Linked DNA regions of Mus musculus: regions 2 and 3 are each reported to be linked to region 1. The links are microRNA targets in miRTarBase. Many come from high-throughput screens and were not tested one by one. Region 1 holds a microRNA gene; each other region holds the end of a gene's coding sequence.

The links. Region 1 holds the annotated microRNA mmu-miR-709 (GGAGGCAGAGGCAGGAGGA, at 3,274-3,292, opposite strand). A microRNA usually pairs through its seed, bases 2 to 8, with sites in the 3' UTR of a target mRNA and lowers its output. Matches are read on the target gene's strand: a 7mer-m8 pairs with bases 2 to 8, a 7mer-A1 pairs with bases 2 to 7 and ends in A, and an 8mer does both.
Region 2: the mRNA of Tle2 is a reported target of mmu-miR-709. Seed matches in the 3' UTR shown: 7mer-m8 at 6,248-6,254.
Region 3: the mRNA of Cnnm3 is a reported target of mmu-miR-709. Seed matches in the 3' UTR shown: 7mer-m8 at 3,751-3,757, 7mer-m8 at 3,556-3,562 and 7mer-m8 at 3,550-3,556.

Annotation. Positions count from the first base shown.
Region 1 is chr8:84,082,459-84,089,458 of GRCm38, reverse strand. It overlaps Mir709 (microRNA 709), which reads right to left and starts at 3,360; the gene lies at 3,273-3,360. Rfx1 (regulatory factor X, 1 (influences HLA class II expression)) reads right to left here. Exons shown (of 21, transcript NM_009055.4): 6 at 6,698-6,811; 7 at 5,285-5,377; 8 at 3,792-3,886; 9 at 1,387-1,753.
Region 2 is chr10:81,589,774-81,597,055 of GRCm38, reverse strand. Tle2 (transducin-like enhancer of split 2) reads right to left here. Exons shown (of 21, transcript NM_019725.2): 20 at 6,704-6,831; 21 at 6,211-6,499. The coding sequence ends at 6,724. Tle6 (transducin-like enhancer of split 6) reads left to right here. Exons shown (of 14, transcript NM_053254.2): 5 at 801-1,211; 6 at 1,501-1,576; 7 at 1,651-1,733; 8 at 1,811-1,848; 9 at 2,471-2,729; 10 at 2,814-3,061; 11 at 4,202-4,343; 12 at 5,017-5,170; 13 at 5,720-5,796; 14 at 5,917-6,151. The coding sequence ends at 6,021. Gm32024 (a long non-coding RNA gene) reads right to left here and starts at 2,491. Exons shown (of 3, transcript XR_003949022.1): 1 at 1,698-2,491; 2 at 724-1,151.
Region 3 is chr1:36,524,440-36,531,721 of GRCm38, reverse strand. Cnnm3 (cyclin M3) reads right to left here. Exons shown (of 8, transcript NM_053186.3): 8 at 3,485-6,556. The coding sequence ends at 6,492. Ankrd23 (ankyrin repeat domain 23) reads left to right here. Exons shown (of 9, transcript NM_153502.4): 9 at 81-1,529. The coding sequence ends at 176. Among named protein-coding and RNA genes, the nearest start is that of Ankrd23, 7.7 kb to the left of the region's middle.

The DNA.
Region 1 (7,000 bases):
AAGGTTAGCAGCTGATGTTTTCCTCGGTTGCTCAGTTCCTGGTGTTGCTTAACTCAGTTGCTTGTTTTTGTTGTTCATTTTCATTTTATGTGTGTGTGTTCTGCCTACATGTATGTATGTACCCCATACATGCCCTATCCCCAAAGGGGCCAGAAGGAGGTGTCAGATCTCCTAGGACTGGAGTTATAGACAATGTGAGGTCCATGTGGGCACTGGAACTTGAACCTGGGTCCTCTGGAAGAACAGCCGCTCCCACTCACGGGCCATCTCTCTTGCCCCACCTTAGATTTTTTTAAGACAACATCTCAAACTGAAGCTGGAGTTTATGTCTGGCTGGCTGTAGGTGAGCCCCAGGTGCCTCTCCATCCCTGCTCCTCCTAGTGTTGGGCTGATAGGCTGTGACTTGCTGGGGACTCCAAACTCAGAACCTCTTGTTCTCACAGCAGGCATGCTTCTCCTGGGCCATTCTTAGCCCCTTTCTGTTCATTGTTCTACGACATTTATTTACTTACTTATGTACAGAGGGTCTGTGTGAAAGTCAGAGGAGCTGGGTCTTGGCCAGCACGAGGCTTTCAGGGATTGAACTCAGGTAATCAAGCTTAGTAGCCAGGGCCTCTACCTACTGAGTCATGAAAGAAGGCTACGCTGGGTACCCCTCACCAGCTCGGAACTCTGGAGCCTCACACCCACTCATGCTTCTGCCTCCCCAGTGCCGGGGTCACACAAGCACGTGCCACCCAACCAGGGTTTGGTACCATATTTATAGCTTCCTGTGAGCCTATAAGTCTTTCAAATAAAACTGAAAAAGGAAAAGCCCACAACACAGATCCTCAGGGACCTTAGCCACCTGGGTGCAACAGTAACCGAGGTGAGAGGCGTCTAGTCCAGGCACAAACAACGTGCACCTTCTCAGCAGACCTGCTCGCTGCACCAGAGGACCCACAGGGTTGAGAAATCAGAAGGTTTGCAGCAGTGGTTTATTAAATAGACTAAACTAGTGAAGACCAGCAGCCAGGGTGTGCTGCCATGTGGAGGGTGCAGTGTTCTGACCTGATCCATGGTCCTGACTGATAATGGGCCCAACTTGGGCTGACTTCAGCTCTGCCACTGTGATTGTAGGAGCTCCCATCTCTCATTTCCTATCAAGCCACCACCAGTTCTGACTAAGGGCATTTCTGCAACTGTCCTCAGAGCTTCACATAGCAGCTGAGGTACAGAGTGGCTGAGCAACACCTAAGGCAACACCACAGATGAGACCAGGCCCTAGGTCATATGAGCACTATCACTGAGCTATGCCTTGGGCCAAACTTCTGCTCTCTGAGTACTGCCAGGTTTTTTTCTCGAGTGTTCCCCCCACCCTCACCTCTGAATAAGGCGAACACTTACTGTGGCTGGTGAGGCACGGGTGGTGTGGGAGTAAGACTGGCTGGCATTGCCTAGCATGTAGCCGCCTTGGATCACGTAGGTGCCTGCTCCGCTGCCGCTGCTGCCGCCACTGCCACCACCACTGCTGCCGCCTCCCCCATTGCCCCCTGCACCCACACTGCTGTTGCTGGCCCCAGCCTCGCTGCTGGATGAGCTGGCGACAATTGGGCTGCCGGACACATACATGGGCACTGAGCCGCTGCTGGCCACCGTCTGGGAAGTAGCCGGCGTGCTGACCTGGGCAGCCGTGCCCGAAGCCTCATAGTAGCTGGTGCCTGCCGTCTGCGTGTAGATAGGCGTCTCCGGGTACTGGTAGGTGCTAGAGCGGCTGCCAAGAAGCAGACAGGAAGCAATGGTCACCACCTTGTACAAGGAGGCAGGGGTTCCAGGAGAGGACCAGAGAAGCCACAGAAACACCAGTGTGGCACCTTCACATATAAGGGACTGGGGACAGCCTGAGCACTGGATGGGCAACCACTTTCTTGTTTTCTAAAACATGTCTTTATATTAACTTATTACTTGGAGAGGGGCACATGTGTTCCGTGGCATACACACAAAGGTCAGAGACAACTTGTGGGAGGCGGGGCTCTCCTTCCACTGTGGGTCCTGGAGACTGAACTCAGACTGTAAAGCCCGGCAGCAAGCACTGCTGAGCCATTGAACCAGCCCTCGCTGGGCACTGAGCCACAGCACTCCAGCACAGGAATCACTCTCCTCACTGGTACTGAGCCACAGCACTCACTGGTACTGAACCACTGCACTCCAGCACAGGAATCAATTTCCTTACTGCAGAAGAGGAGAAAACAAGACAGGGTCCAGAATGCAGAACGTACTTCCTCGGCAACAACGACAAACAGTTCTCAGTCCAGGGAAGGGAGATACAGGAGGGAAGGCAAAGTACAAAGGACTGCAGGGTAGGCAGAGGGGCCGCCTTGGCTACCTCTTCCTGGCAGGGAGCTGCCCCTCCAACTCAGAATATGTCCTGAGTGCCGCATAGGGTAATAAGCCGCAGATCTAAGAGGGGCAACTGTAGCAAGCAAGCCACCCTAACATTTGGGCCCATCTCTGCAGGCTGCAGACTAGAGGGGGTGAGGCAGGAAGAGGAGACGCAACATGATTGCCTTGAGTCCTCCACTGGGTACCGATGGACAGCCAGAAACGAGAGGTTGGGATGAGGAAAAGACCACCCTGTGTGTAGGCAGAAGGCTCTCTGTGGGGAGGGGACAGGCAGGGCCACCTCTCACTTTTGCTCTTTGAGCCCTCCCAATGTGACAGTGATTAAAGCAGGAAAACTTGAGCCTTGCAGGTGGCTCAGTGGGTGGGGATGTTTGCCATCAAGACCGAAGACCTGGGGTTGATCCCCAAAGCCACACAGCAAACAGACTCCAGTGTTAGCATTGGCACTACGCTCAATACATGGTGCATACAACCCCCCCCCATCATCCCATGCACACACTCGAACACATGTGTATACACACACACACACACACACACACACACACACACACACACACACACACACACACACACACACACGAGGGCCAGCAAGGTGGCTCTGGGGTCAGAGACTCACCACATGAACCTCTTACCTAGTACTTGAGTTCTGACCTCAGGTCATGACCTTGCTTCTCAGGTCTGATAAGCAAGAAGCAAGCCATTTACTGATTTATCTCCCTAACCCCCAAGAAAAATTGTAAGACAGAATATGCAAGCCCGAGGAACTGGATTTGCCCCTGCAACCTGTGTAAAGGAGAGAGAAAACGGACTCCTCTAGGTTGTTCTCTGATCTCCACCTGCACCACAGCACATGCACTCTCCCCACACATAAGTCAATATAACAAAAGACAATCCTCCTGCCTCTGCCTCCCCAGTGCTGCTCAAACAGGACAGTTCTATGCTCAGAGCACTTCTGAGTAGAAGCAGAGAAACGGGACACACTAATTACTCTGTGGGACACTGAGGGTCAGATTGAGAACCTGTGGTTCCAGCACGAGAGAGGAAGTGTCAGGCAAATCTCTGAGTTCAAGGCTACCCTGGTCTACAGATCAAGTTCCAGGGCAGTGAGGGCTATACAGAGAGACATTGTCTCAAAAAAAGTTTATGTTGTAAAAATGTATGTATAAATACATATATGTATGCTTTTTCTTTCCCCTTTTCCTGCCTAAAATCCAGATCCATCTAACTGCACAGCTCCTAATTTGTGGAGGTGCCTTCCCAATGGGCCAGTGTCTCTTCTGCTACCAGCTGCCTATATTCCTGGCACCCCACAGGTGTGGGGCTATCACCTGAGCCTTGGGGGCCAGCTGGGAGTTAGAATTGTGGCCCTAACCACATCTGAGCCCTCCTTCCACCCTCTGCCCACTTACATGGCGCTGGCTGTGTAGCTGGCATCGCCACCTTCCACGTACTGCACCTGGCTGGAATACACGTGTGGGACAGGCACCTGAGGGAGTTGCTGTACCTGAAGCAGGAGGAAAAGCAGGGTCATGGGTCAGGGCTGACCACCACCCACGGGTTCACTGATGCCCACATACATCCCCATCTAGAAGGTTGCACATCATGGTTTTCTGAACAACATGGGCCAGAGGTGGGAGGCTTAGGTAGGAGGCTTAGGTGGGGCCAGGTCTCAGTTGTGGCTGGAAAACAGGAGGTGCTGGGATTCTCTGCTTTGGCAAAGAGGTTTCTAAGGCTTATGAGCAAAGGAGGGGATACCAGACAGAATTCTGCAATGGGCTTGAGAGGTGGGTTTGCAATCTAAAAACCGGGCCTGGGGGTTTTCTGGAAACCAAAAAGGTTTCCCAAGCAGATTAGGGGTGGAGCCTGAAGAGGGATCAGTTGATAGAACAACTAGAAACAACTGACAACACCTTAGGGGCAGGTACTGGATAGCCTACCTCCACCCCCAACCCTGGTTTGCAGGAGCCGTGTCTGGGACCCAGTCCCTGAGGCAGAACAAGAATGACTGGCAGCACTTTGGGGGACAGGGTAAAGACATCTCACCCCACCCGCCTTGGGTTGCAGGGGCGAAGCCTGGGAGCCTGGACTTGAAGGCGAGGCAAAGCGGCTTGCTGGGCTGAATGCCCTTCCCCTGCCCGCCCTCCGCCCCCTGCCGTGCCTCCGCTGTCCGCCGCCACCTACTTTGAGGGCGGTGCCGAACACTAGCACCTGGGGCATTCTGTGGATCCTGACCCTCAGGTCGGGGCTGGCTCGGGCCGAGAGCCCCCGCTGTGGCTCGAAGACCACCCTCTGCTGCGGCAGGAGCAGGTGTGGGGGCAGCATGCCCACCAGCTCCACCCACTGCTCCACACCCGGCTCGTAATGGAGCGGCTGCTGCTCGCTGCCTAGCTGCAAGACCTCGCCGCAGCACACTGGCCCAGGCCCGGGAGGCCGGGGCGGCGGCTCCGGCGGCGGCGTGGGCCGGGTTTCTTGCTGCTCTGCCTTCCTAGCGGGAAACTGACTGCCTGAGCTCTGGAGGACAAACAGAGACACTGGGGTATCACCCGGCTGTGAACTCATGGCCACCCGAATGAAGATTCCCCACTTGGGATCTCCTTAGAGAAGAGAGGAACGAACTGGGCACTATCAGAAAGAAGCGGAATTCGAATCCAGCCCTCTTTCAACAAGACCTGTGTCCTGAGTGGTCAGGTGCTGGGATGGGGACGGATTCAGGATGAAGTCTGAAGCCGAGGGCTAGAGTGAAACCTCACTTCTGCAGGGCTTCAAACCTCAATTGCCCCCACTGTCTGCCCTTTAGGGTCCCCAGCTGGCTCCATTCCTCCCTCTGGATTAGGTGCCTGTACCTCCAGCCACAGCCCAGGACTAGTCTGATTGCCCCGACATAGACAGATAGGACACGCACCTCTTGAGCAACGTGAACTGGCTGCAGTCCCTGCACAGTCAGCTGCTGCACCGGGCCAGCTTTGGTCTGTGGAGTGGCCTGGACTACTGACCTCTGGCAAAGAAGGGCAAGGAGAGGCAAGTTCGAGTATGGTAACCATGGCAACTAGGGCAGCCTGTCCCATGCATGCTCAGAACAGCCGTCTTGGGAAAGGCTGTCATTCTTCAGACAGAGAGCAGCCTTTCCGTGTGGGGTCCAGTTAATACAGGCCTTCCAGGTCTCTTACTGCCTGCCTCTGCCATCTGGAGGTTCAGAGTGGTTCTTGCACGGGAAGGGAATACCTGTGGATCCTTTGAATTAGAAGGTTCCCATTTCCTCTAGGGAAGAGCCTACAGCTCGGGCCTATTTGAGGTTTTCAGCCTGGTACTGGGGAACCTGGGGTCTTATGCATGCTAGGCCAGCTCTCTACCACTAATCTACACCCCAGCACTGTTTTTCAATTTTTATTCTGAATCAGGGTTTCACTACATTGTCCAGACTGGCCTTGAAGTGGGGATCTGGCCTGAGTCTCTTGTAGTTGAGGCTATGAGGACACACAAACCATGTCTTGTTTTCTTGAAAAGCCAAGAATCCCAAGAGTTAAGCAGTTAACAAGGAGATACAAGACCATCCTTGCATCTTGGCCTGCTCAGGCCACTGTGATGGTATTAGGAAACTCAGTCTCCTTTGGAAGGTTGAGCACATCGTGAGAATGGCAGGCTTAAGAGATGGATCTGTGGTTAAGGAAACTGGTTGTCCTTCCAGAGGACCCAGGTTCAATTCCTAGCACCGACACAGCTTTAACTCCACGTCTAGGCACAAACATGGTGCATAGACCCACATGCAAGCAGAACACCCATGCTCACTAAAAAAAAATTAAAACAAATGTAAAATCTGAAGAAAAATTAAAACAGATGTAAAATCTGAAGGCCTTGGTGCTTCTTCTCCCCAGAAAGCTGGCTTTTTGGTTTTGCAGAAAAGAGATGACACCCAGGGCCTGTGTATGATGGGCAAATGCTCACCCTGCAGGCTTTGCTTTTCTTTTCTGTCTGTCTGTCTCTGTGTGTGTGTGTGTGTGTGTGTGTGTTTGTGTGTGTAGAAGTCAGAACTCAGTTATCAGGATTGGTGGCAAGTGTGCTTTACCCACTGAGCAATCTCTCTGGCCTACCAGTGTGTGTTTTCAAAGCCATAATGTGCCCTGTGAGGCACCTCTACAACTGTCACAACTAGGGACGCTGAATCTAGATAGAGGCAGAGAGAGGCTCTCGTCAAATGCTCACATGGTAGGCTGGAGCTGGGTCCATCTGCTTAGCTCCCACAGGCCAGGGACCCAGACATAGGTGGCTACTTGGCCTATACCCATGGCCCTAGCTACTGCCCGCCCTGGTCAGGCACCTCTTGGGTGACAGGGACACTCTGCTGGACGCTGTGGACCTGTAGTTGCTGCACAGTGGCCGCAGGAGTCCCAGCTGTCTTGCTGGTGGAGTTGTTGGCCTGCACTGGTGACCTCTGTAAGAGAACAAACAGAGACAATGTCAGGGCCAGCTGTGCTTGTGTCTGGGGCACCCAGGCTCTAACAACCTGCCTCAGAAGGACTCTGGAGAGGGTGGGATAGCCCACAGCAGCCACAAATACTGCTCTGCAGGACTCTACCTAGATGGGGCTCCAGGTGTCTCAGCCTCCATGAGGGCCAGAGGC
Region 2 (7,282 bases), not on the chromosome of region 1:
CCTCACTTTCCAGTCCCTGCTGTGCCAGTGTCCTCCCCCCCCCCCCCATTTTATACCCCCAAATCCCCCAGAGCAACAGCTCTCTCCCCCATTCCCACTGAGCTCCAGGCTCACTAGAATGCCAGTAAATTGCACAATAATGAGTCGGGAAAAATTGGGAGGGCTCCCCTGGGCTTTGTGCAGCCCCAGGCTGGCGCTGCCCTGCAATCCATCATCTCCCAGGGAGGCAGATCCTGGGCCTTCCAGCTCCATCCCAGGTGCTCCCCTCTCCATCCTGGGTGCTCTCCAAAAGCTCCCAGGGGAGGAGCAGGGCTAAATTAAAAACAGTGTCTGGCGGTGGCGGCGGCGGCGGCGGCGGCGGCTGCTGCTGCTGCTGCTGCTGCTGCTGCTGCTGCTGCTGTTTGAGTCTCTGGGCCTCAGTTTTCCAATGTGAAAAATAACACTAAATCCTTTGTAGGCCTTGCTGGGGTGAGGGGCAGGGCTTTGTGCATCAAGGGCTGCATCTAAGCCCTTGATGATGGTGATTACTGGTTTTCTTTTCTTTTCTTTTCTTTTTTTTTTTTTTGAAGTTTTTTGAGATAGGATCTCAAAGTCGGTCTATAGCCAAAGATGACCCTGAACTCCTGATCCTCCTGCCTCAGCTTTTGAAGGGAAGGGTGAACAAGTGTGCACCACCATGCCTGGATGTGTAGGGTGTGGTTTATCCTGGCGGGAAGAGCTTACCTAGTGCCAAGCTTTGGCACAGGCTCCCCTTCCCCACATCTGTGCCCTCAGCAAGGCTCCATCCTAACTTGTTCTAGGCAGAAAACTTCTTCCAGGCGATAGAGCGCTTCAGTAGAACCCCAGACCTCCTGGAGAGGAACAAGATGAGTATTGGTGTTGGGGCTGAAGGGGACAGTTGGCCATGTCATGTGTCTCATGAGGCCCCAATGGGCTCTGCCCAGACCACAGAGAACTCAGCTAAGGAAGAAGACAAACAGGTCCCAGAGTCTGCAGCCCTCCAGCACCCCAAGTTCAAAAGCACCCCGGGGCCTCAGCTGCCCACCAGACGTCGGTTCCTCTCAGAGAGTGATGAGCTCCAGGACCCACAGCCGGTCTGGGACGCGGAGCCCCAGTTCTGTCAAGGCTTCCTGATCCAGGGACTCTGGGAACTTTTCATGGACAGCCGCCAAAAGAACCAACAGGAACACGGGGGTGAGGATTCCTCACAGGTGAGGGGGAACTCCCAGGCACAAGCCTTTCTCTCCCTCTTCTTCCCTCTCTCCTCCCCCCACCTTGCCTGTTGTCATGGCAACAGAGAAGCTGCTGGAATTGGTGAGTACCCTTGACTGGAACCCCAAAGGATTTTACCCCATAGTGTCCCCTCAGTACCCTCCTTCCTCATCCCTGCACTCTGACCCCTCAGGAACATCCCCACTGCAGCCAGGAACCCCCAGGCATCTGCTGGGTGTCCCCCCCTGGGGTGACGTGTCCCCCATCTGACCCAATTCTGTCTCCCAGGAAAGCAAAGATTCAGGCCTGTGTGACTTTAAACCAGAACCTCAGCCCAGGCACAGAAACAGCCTGAGTGACTCTGGTGAGAGGGGTGGGGCCTCGGAGGGCAGGGCCATAGTTCCTGGGTCACCCCTGAATCCTGTCTCCTCCACACAGCCGACCCCTTCCTGATCAAGTCTCCCTCAGCTCTTCTAGATTATTACCAAGAAGACGTCAGTCGGCCCCAACCTGAGACGCAGGTGAGTGGGAGACCTGGATGCAGATATGGAGGGGAGGTCACAAGCCAGCAGCGTCAGCTTCTTTCTTTGTACCACAGGAATCTTCTGGAAGAGCTGATAAATTTCTGAAGCCCTTGTGAGTGTTGGCCTCTGCAGGGAGAAAGCGGGGTTACCTCACCCTTGTCTCCCCCACCCCGCCTCCCTGTCTCTGTCCCTTTTCCATGTCCTTAACTGGTGGTGGAAGATGGAGGGGCTTGTGAGAGGGCTCAGCAGGTAAAGGTGCCTGCTCCCAAGCCTAGGCCTGGGTTTGATCCCTGGGACCTACACAGTTGAAAGTGAAAAATGACTCCCGCAGGTTGTACTGCCTCCTCTCTACCCTCCACCCCCCCACACCCCATTAATGAGTAAATATAAGAACAACTTGTAAAGGGTTAAAGAAGGAACGTCTCACTTAAATCTCAACCTAGATTCTCAGTCTTGTAGTTGGAGAACGATGTCTTGGAGAAGGGGCTGTAATAATTAGGTCTATAAGGGTGCACAGGAGCTCAGTCGACTTGAGCAAAGCGTTTTAGAGTAGGGACGCATGTGTGGCTGTGGCAAGAACTGAAGAATGTGACTGGAGCCTGGCTCCTAGCGCTCATGAGGTAGAGGCAGGAGCATTAGGAATTCAAGGTCAGCCTTTGCTCCATACAGAGTTCAAGGCCAACCTGGACTAAGACCCTGTCTTGAAAACTTCACTCTGTGTCCCATATCCCTAGGTCCTGGGGCTCTGAAGTCTTAGAGAGCAGCTGTAATCAGCCTAGCACAGCACTCTGGCAATTAGAGAGGTTCACTGTCCCCCAAGCACTGCAGAAGGTGCGTGTGCTGAAGCACCAGGAACTGCTATTGGTGGTAGCTGTGAGCTCCTTCACGCGGCACGTCTTCACCTGCAGCCAGAGCGGCATCAAGGTGTGGAACCTCGTGAACCAGGTGGCCGAGGACAGAGACCCAGAAAGCCACTTGAAATGCAGCGTCCAGGTGACGGGGCAGGGACGGGGTTGGGGATGGGAGGTGCTGGAAGAGCCACGACTGACCCTCACTCGCCGGGACGATCCTCTGCAGGACAACAAGGTGTACCTGCGCACCTGCCTGCTGTCCTCCAACAGCAGGACCCTGTTCGCGGGTGGATACAACTTACCTGGCGTGATCGTGTGGGACCTGGCAGCCCCATCCCTGTATGAGAAGTGCCAGCTGCCCTGCGAGGGCCTGTCCTGCCAGGCACTGGCCAACACAAAGGAAAACATGGCCCTTGCCGGCTTCACAGATGGCACGGTCAGGATATGGGACCTACGGACTCAGGAAATAGTCAGGTGCAGACACAGGGACAGGAGCACTGTGAGCTGCGGACTACGAGTTCTGAGCTCTTACCCAAACCCCACTCCCCCAGAGTGGAGCCACACCCTAGTCCCCTCACTAGGGGATTCTGGGTGGGACTCTACCCTATCCCTGACCACGCCCACAGCCTGCTTGTTTACCTTTAGGTTAGGGTAAGTGTCTCATGTAGCCCAGGTTGTCCTCAAGCACAGAGGAGGAGAACCTTAAACTCTCCTTATCTTCCTGCCTTCACCTTCCAAGTGCTGTGTGTGCCTGGCTTATTCGTAAATCTTGTTTTTCGTGGGCTTTGTTTTGTTTTGTTTTTCGAGACAGGGTTTCTCTCTGTGCAGCCCTGGCTGTCCTGAAACTCACTCTGTAGACCAGGCTGGCCTGGATCCACCTGCCTCTGCCTCCCAAGTGCTGGGATTAAAGGCGTGTGCCACCACTGCCCAGCTCATTGTAATTCTTGTAGGACAAGGGAGAACAGAGGCTCAGGACAACCTGCAGGAGCCTGTTCTTCCACTAAGTGGGTTCTTGGAACTCGGCTCTCCTCTACCCACTGAGTGACCTGGGAGCCATCTGGTCAACACTTTTACTTTTATTCATTTTATCTGGCATAGGGTCTCACTCTGTAGACCAGGCTAGCCTTGGAACTCAGTGATCCACCTGCCTCTGCCTCCAGAGTGCTGGGATGACAGGCTTGTGCTGCCAAGCCCTGCTCAGATTTTATCTTAAGGTCGGATCAGGTGACGTTTTCAGGGATGATGCTGAACTTGCTCTGAAGCCTAGGATGGCTCTAACTCGCAATCATCCTCTCTTAATCCCGAGTAGCTGGGATGACAATTGTGAGTCACCACAGCCAGCTTTGGGTCTTCTCCATCACCCTCATTGTTGAGGCAGGGTCTCTATGTACCCTAGCCTGGCCTGGAACTCATGGCAATCCTCCTGCCTCAACTTCCTCAGTACTGGATTTATAGGTATTGGAACATTACCTTTTAGAGGCAGGGACTAGGATGATGTCACTGTTGCCTTCTTGCCAAAGGTGTTAAGAGTACCTCAGGTTGGGTTAGTCCCACGGCTTTGAGGGAATCTTAGGGACTGTCGAGCCTAGGCTTACCCCTTTGCTTTCTGGCCAGGAACCTCAAAGGCCCTACCAATTCGGCCAGGAACCTTGTGGTCAAAGATGACAACATCTGGACAGGGGGTCTGGACGCCTGCCTGCGATGCTGGGACCTGCGGATGGCCAAGGTGTCACTGGAGCATCTGTTCCAGTCCCAGGTGCACAGGAAGGGTGGCTGCACAGGCGTGGGCCTTTGGGTACAATGACAAGGTGCACTCAGTGTCAGGAGAGGGAACAGCCCAGGTCAGCTCAAGGAATTTTTGAGAAGTCACAGGGGTCTTTAAAATACCTTTTGTCATACTGGACAATGGTGGAGAAGGCTGTCGTCCCAGTACTCAAGCTGAGGCAAGAGGATGAAAAAGTGAGTCCATCTTGGGCTACATAGTGGAGAAGGAGCTGGATCTAGGGGGTAGAATGTTTTCCTGTCACTCAGCACTAGGGAGCTGGGGGAAGGAGGGTCAGAAGTTTAAGGTGGTCATCAGCTACACAGGAACCTGAAGGATAGCCTGGGCTACATAAAAGCCGGTCTCAAAGACTATCGTTGCAAATATTTTATGCTGGAGTTCAAGGCCAGCCTGGGCTATGTGGCAAGTCACTACAGCCTAGGCTATGGAGCAAGACCATGTCCCAATAAAACCAACCAGGGAGACAGACTTGTCACTGCCATAGTTAACCCTGTGAAGTTCATACACCTCACAGAAGGAAGGTGTGGAGACACAGTCGGGCCACAGCCAGTCAGTGAGTCATTGGGTGGGCGGGCGTTCGGGCGGGGACCTTGCAGCCTGGCCGCCCAGCAGGGGTCTGATTGCTACCTCTGCCTGGCTCACCCAGATCATGAGCCTGGCTCACAGTCCGACCGAAGACTGGCTGCTGCTGGGCCTGGCCAATGGCCAGCACTGCCTGTTCAACAGCAGGAAGAGGGACCAGGTGCTCACTGTGGACACCAAGGACAACACCATCTTAGGCCTCAAGTTCTCCCCAAATGGTAAGGAGTCCACTGAGCCTGGGCATGGTGGCACACGCCTTTAATTCCAGCACTGGGGAGGCAGAGGCAGGTGGATCTGAGTTCAGGACCAGCCCTGGTGTACAGAGTTCCAGGACAGCCAGGACTCCACAAAGAAACCCTGTCTGGGAAACCAGTCCACTGAGGATGGGTGCACACTGTGGCCACTGGCCTCTCAGAGGACCCTGCTATTTACTCAGTGCCCAGTCAGGGCTTGGGTATTGTCCACACTCCAACATCTTTTATTAACATAATCATAATCAGGAGTTCAGAGTCATCTCTGGCTACTTGGGGAGCTTAAGGCTATCCTGAGCTATAAAAGGCTTCAGACGGCAAAACATAACAAAAGACAAAACAGTAAAACTTTTTGCTGTTCTGCCTTGTTCTTTGAGGCAAGGTCTCATGTAGCCTAGACTCATTCTCATCTCAAACTCTCTCAGTCCTCCTGCCTCAGCCTCCTGGGTGCTGCTGGATGTTAGTGAATGGGTGGGGTCTGCTGTAACCTCCCTGTCTTCCTTCCCCTCCTCCTAGGCAAGTGGTGGGCGAGCGTCGGTATGGGCAACTTCATCACGGTCCACAGCATGCCCACCGGAGCAAAACTGTTCCAGGTACTTATGTGCAGGGGGCACTGGGGGCTCTGTCAGCGGGACCCTCAGCATCATCCCCACAGGGGTCATTTCTGAAGCTCTGGGTGGAGAGGAACTGAGCTCACTCAGCTGCTGTCTCAGGTCCCCGAGGTTGGCCCTGTCAGATGCTTCGACATGACTGAGAACGGCAGGCTCATCATCACAGGATCCAGGGACTGTGCCTCGGTGTACCACATCAAGTACTGACAACTTCAACTCCCCTCCCCTAACTGCACAGTGGTGGATGGCAATGGGTGTGATGGGTCTGCAGTGCTTCTAGAGGCTTCCATGGGGTGTGCAGATCCCGAGTTGCGTGTAATAAAACAATTGAAATGGCAGAGATTTGTCCTTTACCCAGGTTTTGGAAGAACTTTGTAGCTCTGAGCCCTCCAACTTCTGAGTGTTTGCCTTTAATCCCAGCACTCAGGAGACAGAGGCAGGCGGATTTCTGAGTTCCAGACCAGCCTGGTTTACATAGTTTCAGGACAGCCAGTGCTACACTAAGAAACTAGCCCCACCCAGTTTTTGTTTTAAAGAGAGCCAGGAAGATGGTTCAGTTGGTAAAGCCCACACCAGGCAGGATAAGGAGTGAGTGTAAATCCCTGATCCAGCTCTGTAGGTAGAGACAGGAGGATTCCTGGGGCATGTTGACCTGTCTGTGAGGCTCATTAGTGAGATCCACACTCTGAAAATTGGGGCAAAGAGAAATGAAGGCTGATACCCAGTCGGGTCCCTCACCTGTACGCTTCACACACACACAGAAAGAAAGCAAGTTGATAAATGTGTTATATTTCCCCAGTGCCCCAGCCCCACCCAGCCAGGAGGGAGCAAGCCAGGTATGAGCAGAGGGGCCCGTGTCCCGAGTGGCCAGCCATCCAGGGCAGGTGACCTGAAAAGGCAGCAGATGGCTCAGTACACCACCTCATACACAGTGGCCTTCTTGTCCCCTGAGCCTGTCACGATGTACTTATTATTCCTGGAGATGTCGCAGCTCAGTACAGAAGATGATTCTTTGGACTGGGACAGAGAAAGGGGAGGTGAGGGGTGGCCACATGGTCACCACCACCAAGTTTACAGACCAGAAGCATGGGGCTTGGAGGACAACAAAGGCTGGTAGATGTGACTGTTGCCAGGGCCTTGTAGCTGGGGACTGAGCTAGCCTGACTGGTGACTTAAGAGATGGTACCTAACTCATCACAGCTCGACTTCAGATGGCTTCACAGCAAAGTACCTCCCTCCTCTTCCCTCATTCTCTCTCAAACCAACCATACTTCTGCCCCATCCTTCCAAGTGCTAAGATTACAGATCTGTGTCACCGTGTCCTGGAGGGACAGGGGTATCCCTGACATGTGAAGGGTTGATAATGGTACTGCTCTGGATTGGAGACTCCTGGGGTCTTTGATGGTTAGGAAGGACAGGAAATGTGAAAGACCACTATAGCACATCCATTGAAGGTTCAAGAGACTTA
Region 3 (7,282 bases), not on the chromosome of region 1:
TGAGTGCTGGCCAGGCAAGGTCTGTGCTGAGGAACACCAAGCACTCAGGAGGGAGACTGATCCAGTGTCCTTGTTCACAGGCTTCCCAGACACCAGTGCAGCTGGCTCGAGACTGGCAGCGGGGCATCCGGGACGCACTCCAGGCCCACGTGGGCCATCCCCGTACCCGGTGCTGATGACTGGCACCTGTGGATCACCCACGGCCACCATTCCACACCCATCCACCAGTCCTAAATAGTTCTTTATCCCAGTCCTAATTTCTCTCTGGCTTTGCTTCCTCCGGCCTGAAGCAACAGGTAGAGCAGCCTCCTGGGTTTCAGTGAGGAACCCTGTTCCCTGCCAGGGCTGGAGCCGAGGACCACAGGGCAGCAAGAAACAAAGGGGTCCAGATGAGGGCCAAGGCCAGAGCACAAGTGAGCTGACCAGTGCTACCCTCAGCTGGGTCTAGGCCTCCGTCTACCAGTCCTTAGACCACGGACTGGTCTTGGCCTATTCTCATCTAAGTAGACATTCAGATGTGGCCAGCAGCTGCATCCAGGGCATGAGAGAAGCAGGCTGAGTGCCAGGCACCGTGCAGGTCACTTCCGTCCTCTGGGCAGCGTTTCTCCTGGGACTTCATTTCTACCAGTAGCAGCCCTGGTAGTGTCTGGCAGTTCTAGCCATCTCGTCTTCAGAGCTCTGAAGGTGGGATTCGGCAGGCTGAGGGGCATGTCAGCAGGACTGAGGCCCCACAGAAGCCAGGATCTACCAGGTTGCTCCAGAAGCTGGAGCGTGATGAGCTGGAACTAGCTAGCGTTACTCTGGGGAAGCTCTACCTAAAGGCTCCAGGCAGCCTTGCTTACCGTATGTGAGGTCAGGGTACCGGGTGCTGGGGATTGCTTGTGGCCCACTCACCTCGTGGGGCGGTGGCCCGCAACCCTGGCTTACCCTGAGGCTCTAATGCCCCCTGGTGCAGGAGAAAGCTCCGGGACTAGGCTCTGTAGGCCCTACACACTGAGGAGTCCTGCACCTTGCTTTGGGACAATGCCAACAGTATACATCCCTCTCTGGTCCCATGCCAGCTGGTAGTGTAAAGAGGACTTCACACAGGCTCCCGGGTGGCTGCTTTCTCTCCCAGCTGTTTCCAGTTTCACTGGTGTAAACCTGTACTGCGGGCAGGGCCCCCACTGAAGGCTGAGTGAAGGGCAAAAGGTGAAGGCCTCTTGAACAGCCCCAGCTGATGCCCATTTTGCAGCAGTTATTTTTTGATTAATTTTGGCAGCCTATGGCCATTGTTATGACGACGACTTGAAGAACCTGACTAAGTATAACCTGACTAAGTGTTCCCTCCAAAGGGGCATGTATCTTTCCATGGGGCAGGCCCTGCCCTGTCATGCCAGCCAGCGTGCACCTTGACACTGGTGCCGTGGGCAACACAGACATTCAAGCCTACTCAATATGACAATTCCTCAGAAATGAGGACACTTAGCTGACACACAAAGCACCTTTTTATACAGATCAATGTTTTCTCATTAAACTGACTCTATTCACCTCAGCCTGGTTGCCTCATGGGGACTGGGAGGAGGCCAGATATTGGGCTACACAGTAGAAACCAACTGCAAAGACTAAGACCATCACCTTCCCAACTGACAGCATGACATGGTACCAAGTGCCATGTGTGCTCGCACGTGCGCACATGCATTTGCATGCACAAAGGGGGCCTGCCTGGTTTGGGATCTCTATCTTTGCCCCTTGATGGACAAATTAAGAAAGCCACACTTCTCAACTTCAGTTGTGCTTAGAATCACTACACATTTTTAAAGTCATGATGTCTGCTGCGTGTGGTGATGCACAACTTTAATTCCAGTACTGATGGGTCTGCTTCTGAGTCCTGAGTTCAGGGCCTGCCTGACCGACAGGTAAGCTCGAGACCAGCCAGGGCTACAGTGAGACCTTTCTAACAGTCCTAATGGTATTAGGTCAGCAGCCCTGAAAATGAGATCCAAGTATTGGTTGAAGACACGGTAATCTACGAATCTGAGCAAATTATAAGGGATCCTAGGTGGGTGGTGGGTTGGAAGTACCGTAATAGTCCAGGATACAATACAAACAAAAATCTATCTCTTCCCTAATAGTAGTGAACACACAGATACAAAAACCATAGTTCTATTACAACTGTTTAAAACTAGATAGGGCTGGAGAGATGGCTCTGCAGTTAAGAACACTGACTGCTCTCCCGAAGGTCCTGGGTTCAAATTTCAACAACCACACGGTGGCTCACAACCATCTGTAATGAGATCTGACGCCATCTTTTGGACATCTGAAGACAGCTACAGTGTACTTACATATAATAAATAAATAAATAAAGAAGGCACAAGATATCAGCTCTCCCCAAGATGTTAACATACAGGCTTAACACAGTCCTACCAAAACCCAAGCCAGATGTAAACAGGATTTTTCTAAACTTTGTAAGCAAGTGTATACCCCAAACAATCTGAACCATATGTGGTTCCTTCATATATATGTATGTGTGTATATGTGTGTATATATATATATATACATACATACATACATACATATATATATATCTCCCAGCACTTGAGAGGACTCGGATTACTTTGAGTTCCTGTCTAGGTTGAACTGCGTGAGACTTAAAAAGAAAAAAGGAACTAAAAGGCAGGTATGGGTCTCATGCTTGTAATCTCAGCATCTGGGAGGCTGAGGCAGGGCACTCTGAGGTCAGCTTGGCCCACAGGCTGTCCCCTCCCTTTTTTTTTTTTTTTTTTTTTTTTCTTCTGAGACAGGGTTTCTCTGTATAGCCCTGGCTCTCCTGGAGCTCACTTTGTAGACCAGGCTGGCCTCGAACTCAGAAATCCACTTGCCTCTGCTTCCCGAGTGCTGGGATTAAAGATGTGTGCCACCACACCTGGCCATGTTTTGTTTTGAGACAGGATTTTGTCCCGGAACTCACTCTGTAAAACAGGCTGGTGGGCCTTGAACACAAAAGATCCACTTGCCTCTGAGTGTTAGGATTAAAGCCATGCACCACACCCAGCCTGGTACCCTAGTTTAAGAGAAAAGAGGGGGGGACCTAAAGTGGGTTCAGCTTTAGTGATCTGGAGTGCAGTAGACAGAAACTAACATGAATTAGCTGACAACTCAGGGTGCCACACAAATCCACCCAAACATACTATGGGGAAGATTTACCATTTGAATAGGAGGCCAGGGCTCAGAAAACTTGGCAAAGGGCCAAGAGTTTAAGTTTTGCAAGTCACCAGCTGTCCCCCAGCTCTTCCAAAGGATCCAGGTCCAGAAGGAGCCAACGTCTGCTGGCCTCTGCAGGCACTAAGCACAGACATGAAAAACACACACATACAAAAACCAGCTAGGACCCAAGCCTTATTTAAAGAAACAATATTTCAAAATGGACCACAAGCTTACATGTAAAACAAACTATTAGGAAGAAAGGCAATTGAGACAGATATGGTAAAAGTACAATGGAAAATTTGATAAAAATGAATTTAATCAGGCCGGGCAGTGGTGGCACACGCCTTTAATTCCAGCACTTGGGAGGCAGAGGCAGGTGGATTTCTGAGTTCAATGCCAGCCTGGTCTACAGAGTGAGTTTCAGGACGGCCAGGGCTACACAGAGAAACCATGTCTCGAAAAACAAAACAAAAAAAAGAGAGAGAGAGAGACTTTAATCACAAAAACCTTTAAGATGAGCCAGGCGTGGCAGAGCATGCCTTTAGACCCAGCACTTGAGAGTCAGAGGCAGTGAATCTCTGAGTTTGAGGCCAGCCTGGGCTATACAGACAAACTCTTGGCTTAAAACACCAAAAACAAACAAACAAACAAACAACAAAAAACAACCCCCCCCCAACCAAACCCTCCACCTGTACAAGACCTTGCGGTGAGAACACAGTTAATGTTACTGAGATGGAGGCCCATGGGAGCCTGTGGCTGCTTGGTCCTTTAGACCACACACTTTACAGAGGGAGAACATGGCAGAGGTCAGAGCCCTGATGAACTCAGGAGAACCCACTAACAGAGCAGCCCAGGGATTCAATCTTTAGTATACAAGCTCTGGGGTCACAATTCAGATCTAGAATACAGCACTACACAGATAATCTTTGCAAACCAAAAATCCAACGAAGGATTTTGGAATCTAAATATCTGAAGAGTTCCCAAGAGAGTTCCCAAGAGAAAAAAAAAAAGATGGGGGTGGGGTGGAGATGCACAGACACATGGAAAGGAATACAGACCAGTTGCCAAGCTGAAAACACGAACAGGCTCATGGACGAGACCAAGGAAAAGCAGACAAGAACCACAGACAGCAAAGGACTGATGGTCATTGGCCCATGGGTCGGGGTGGGGAGAAACCAGATCATTCCTACATTTCCTGTAGGAATTTAAACTTGTGCACAGCTCCGCTCCAAGGCCAGGCAGGTTCTTTTTTAAGGTAAACGTCATGGCACCTGTGTTGCTGGCACATCCCAGGCGGACACCAGTCTTCACACCGTATCTGTACGTGAATGTTCATAGCAGCTTTATTTTGAAAAGGCCAAAAACTGCAAACAACCCAGATGTCCTCTGACAGGACACTGAATACACCACGGGACATCATTTGGCAAGGAGGAGCGAGCCACTGACACACTGACCTGGAACAGCCTCCAGAGCACTGTGCTGGATGAAGTCAATCCCAAAGTCCAGCTGCACGCAACACAGCCCCTCAAACGACATTCTTGACATGACAAAATGACAGAGCTGAGGAACAGTCTATGGAACAGTCTATGGTCCCAGGGCTTAGGGCGGGGGCAGGTGGCTCCGAGGGACAGTCCAGCGGGTTAGTATTCTCCAGCAGTTACTTGGGTCTACAGAGGTGGCAGAGTGCAGAGCCCCACAGCCCTGCACACTATGGTTAGTGACATGGGAGCACTGGGGAAAGCCAGATAAAGGGTACAAGGGCTCTGCGTCTTTGCCACTTCCTATGAACCTGCAATTACTGTAGTTAGGTCTAAAGAAGCGACAGCTCCAAGTGCATCCTGGCATCTGGATTCCAATTGCCAGAAATCAAAAAAAAAAAAAAGTGAGATCTAAATCAAGGCCTCAGTTGAGTACTCCAATGTTAACATTTGAGTTCTGGTAAATGCAACAAGGTTATCTAACACGTTAACTTTAGGAGGTGATGGTAAAGGGCATAGGGGACTCTTCTAGGAGGAGGTTAAAACCACTTCAGGACCACAGCCCTGGGGGTTCAAGGTGAGCATACGCATCCAAGGTTCTAACTCGATTCTGAGGTTCAGCCGAAATTTAGAATTCTGTTTTGGAGACAGGTAATTCAAAGTATTTGTTTCCAACCTGGGTTTGTTCTCAGAGTACATTCTGTTATAATATTTTTTTCAGCAAGCGTACCACTGTTCTCTTAGCTTCCAAGTCTCACAAGGGCCCATATTCTTTTAAGAATGGTTCCAGAAATCCGCCCTTCCCACCCCAATCTATTGTCCCAGAGCTGAAACTGTGGAAAAGTATAGGTAAACTAGAAGAGAAAGAATCTTTCCACCCGTGTCTCTAAAACATCACTGGAAAGACAAAAGCACACAGAGTTTGAGTATTTCAGAGATACGAGAAAACCCTGACTTCTCAGCAAGTGACAAGGACGTTGCAGGCTTACAACCGCCTCACTGACTGCTGCTCCACGGTGCACTGCTGCACACCTTCCTGGGTGCTCAGGGCAAGAGCACAAGACAGGTACAGCAGGCGCCACGGCCCCAGGTCAGTCAACACTGACCTTTGGCCTTCCACAAATGACCTCAAACAGAAATCGACAATACTGTGGTGGCGCCGTGCCCAAGTGGGAAAGAAATGCAAGGCGACCCTGGGCCAGCCTGCTCATGACTTGAGGAGCCAGAGGGGCTTCCTCCACAGGAGGGAGCGGAACCGGGGCACAGATTATTGGGGAGCTGTGCTCTTAGATTTGGCACATGAGAAACTGGGGTACATGAATCAAAATATGGCATTGTAGGGGAAGCCAAGAAGTACACGGCAGGGCCATGGATTTGAACACTTCCATCAAAACTCAGCACTCTTGGCTTGCTCAGAAAGTGGCGCCACTGACAGAGGGTTGGCCAACCAAAAGCAGAATGAGCACAGGCCAGGGCCATGTAAAGGCAGTGGCTGTACCCGCATGGCCCTGGGCTCAGGGAGACACATAAACACACTGTGCTGTTACAGCACCGGGGAAGCTGGGAGCTGGGGACTAGAGATGACGCTGTTTCTTTTGTCCCCTCGGAAACAGGCTTCTGGAGGGCCGCTTTGTCAACCCCATCTCCTCAAGGACAGCAGGACGGCTGGAGGCTCTGGCACCGAGGCGGCTCAGGACCCACAGCTTACAAGGGCCATCTAAAACGTGGCCAGGATAGGTGGGGACAGGCTGGCATGAAGCTCCTGCTCGGCTCTCCCAGCTCCCCAAACGCTTGTCCATTTCCAGCTCGGGGCTGTCCGGCAAGCAGTTACACTCCTGGGTTCCGCCCAGGGCTCTCCTCCACTGGGATGCTGGGTCTGCTGTTGGTGGACCCTAAGGAAAAGGAAAAAAGAATGGCATTCACACTTGTCAAGGGAGCGGGCTCTGCAAAACTAAGTACTGAACCTTTAGGACAAGCAGCAGCAGCCTGGACAGATGGGCCTCAGAACACCTCAGGAACCAGCAAAGCCTTTAGGAACATGGTCGGCAGGCTTCAAGAGAGAAACTCACTGCAAGGCCAGATGCCACCCATGAAGGACAAAGGCCGGCTATAGACTATCCTGTTATTGGTCTACGGAGTGGTGTTTCCCTTCTTTGGGGCAGGAGGGGTTGAGACAAGGTCTTACAGAGCGCAGGCAGACCTTGAACCCTAGATTCTCCTATCTCTATCTCCTAAGGACTGGAACTAAAGGTGCACGACCACACTTTTAGACTTAATAACTGTATTCATTTCATTCTTCAAAGTAAGCCAGCTTCTCTTATACTGATTTTGGTGTGTACATACTACACACACGAGGGTAAGTGTGTGTCCTGACGTGCATGGAGGTCAGAAGACCATCTCTGAGAATCAGTTCTTAGGTCCTGGGGACTGAACTTGGCTCATAAGGCTTGTCGCCAAGCACCTCTACCCACAGAGCCATATTGCCAGCCCTTGTTTTGTTTTGAGACAAAGTCTTGTTACCATGTAGTGCAGAGTGACTACAAACTCAGGGCAGTCCTCCTGCCTCATCCTCCGGGGTGCTGAGATTACATGCATGAGCCATGGTACCTATGGGGTGC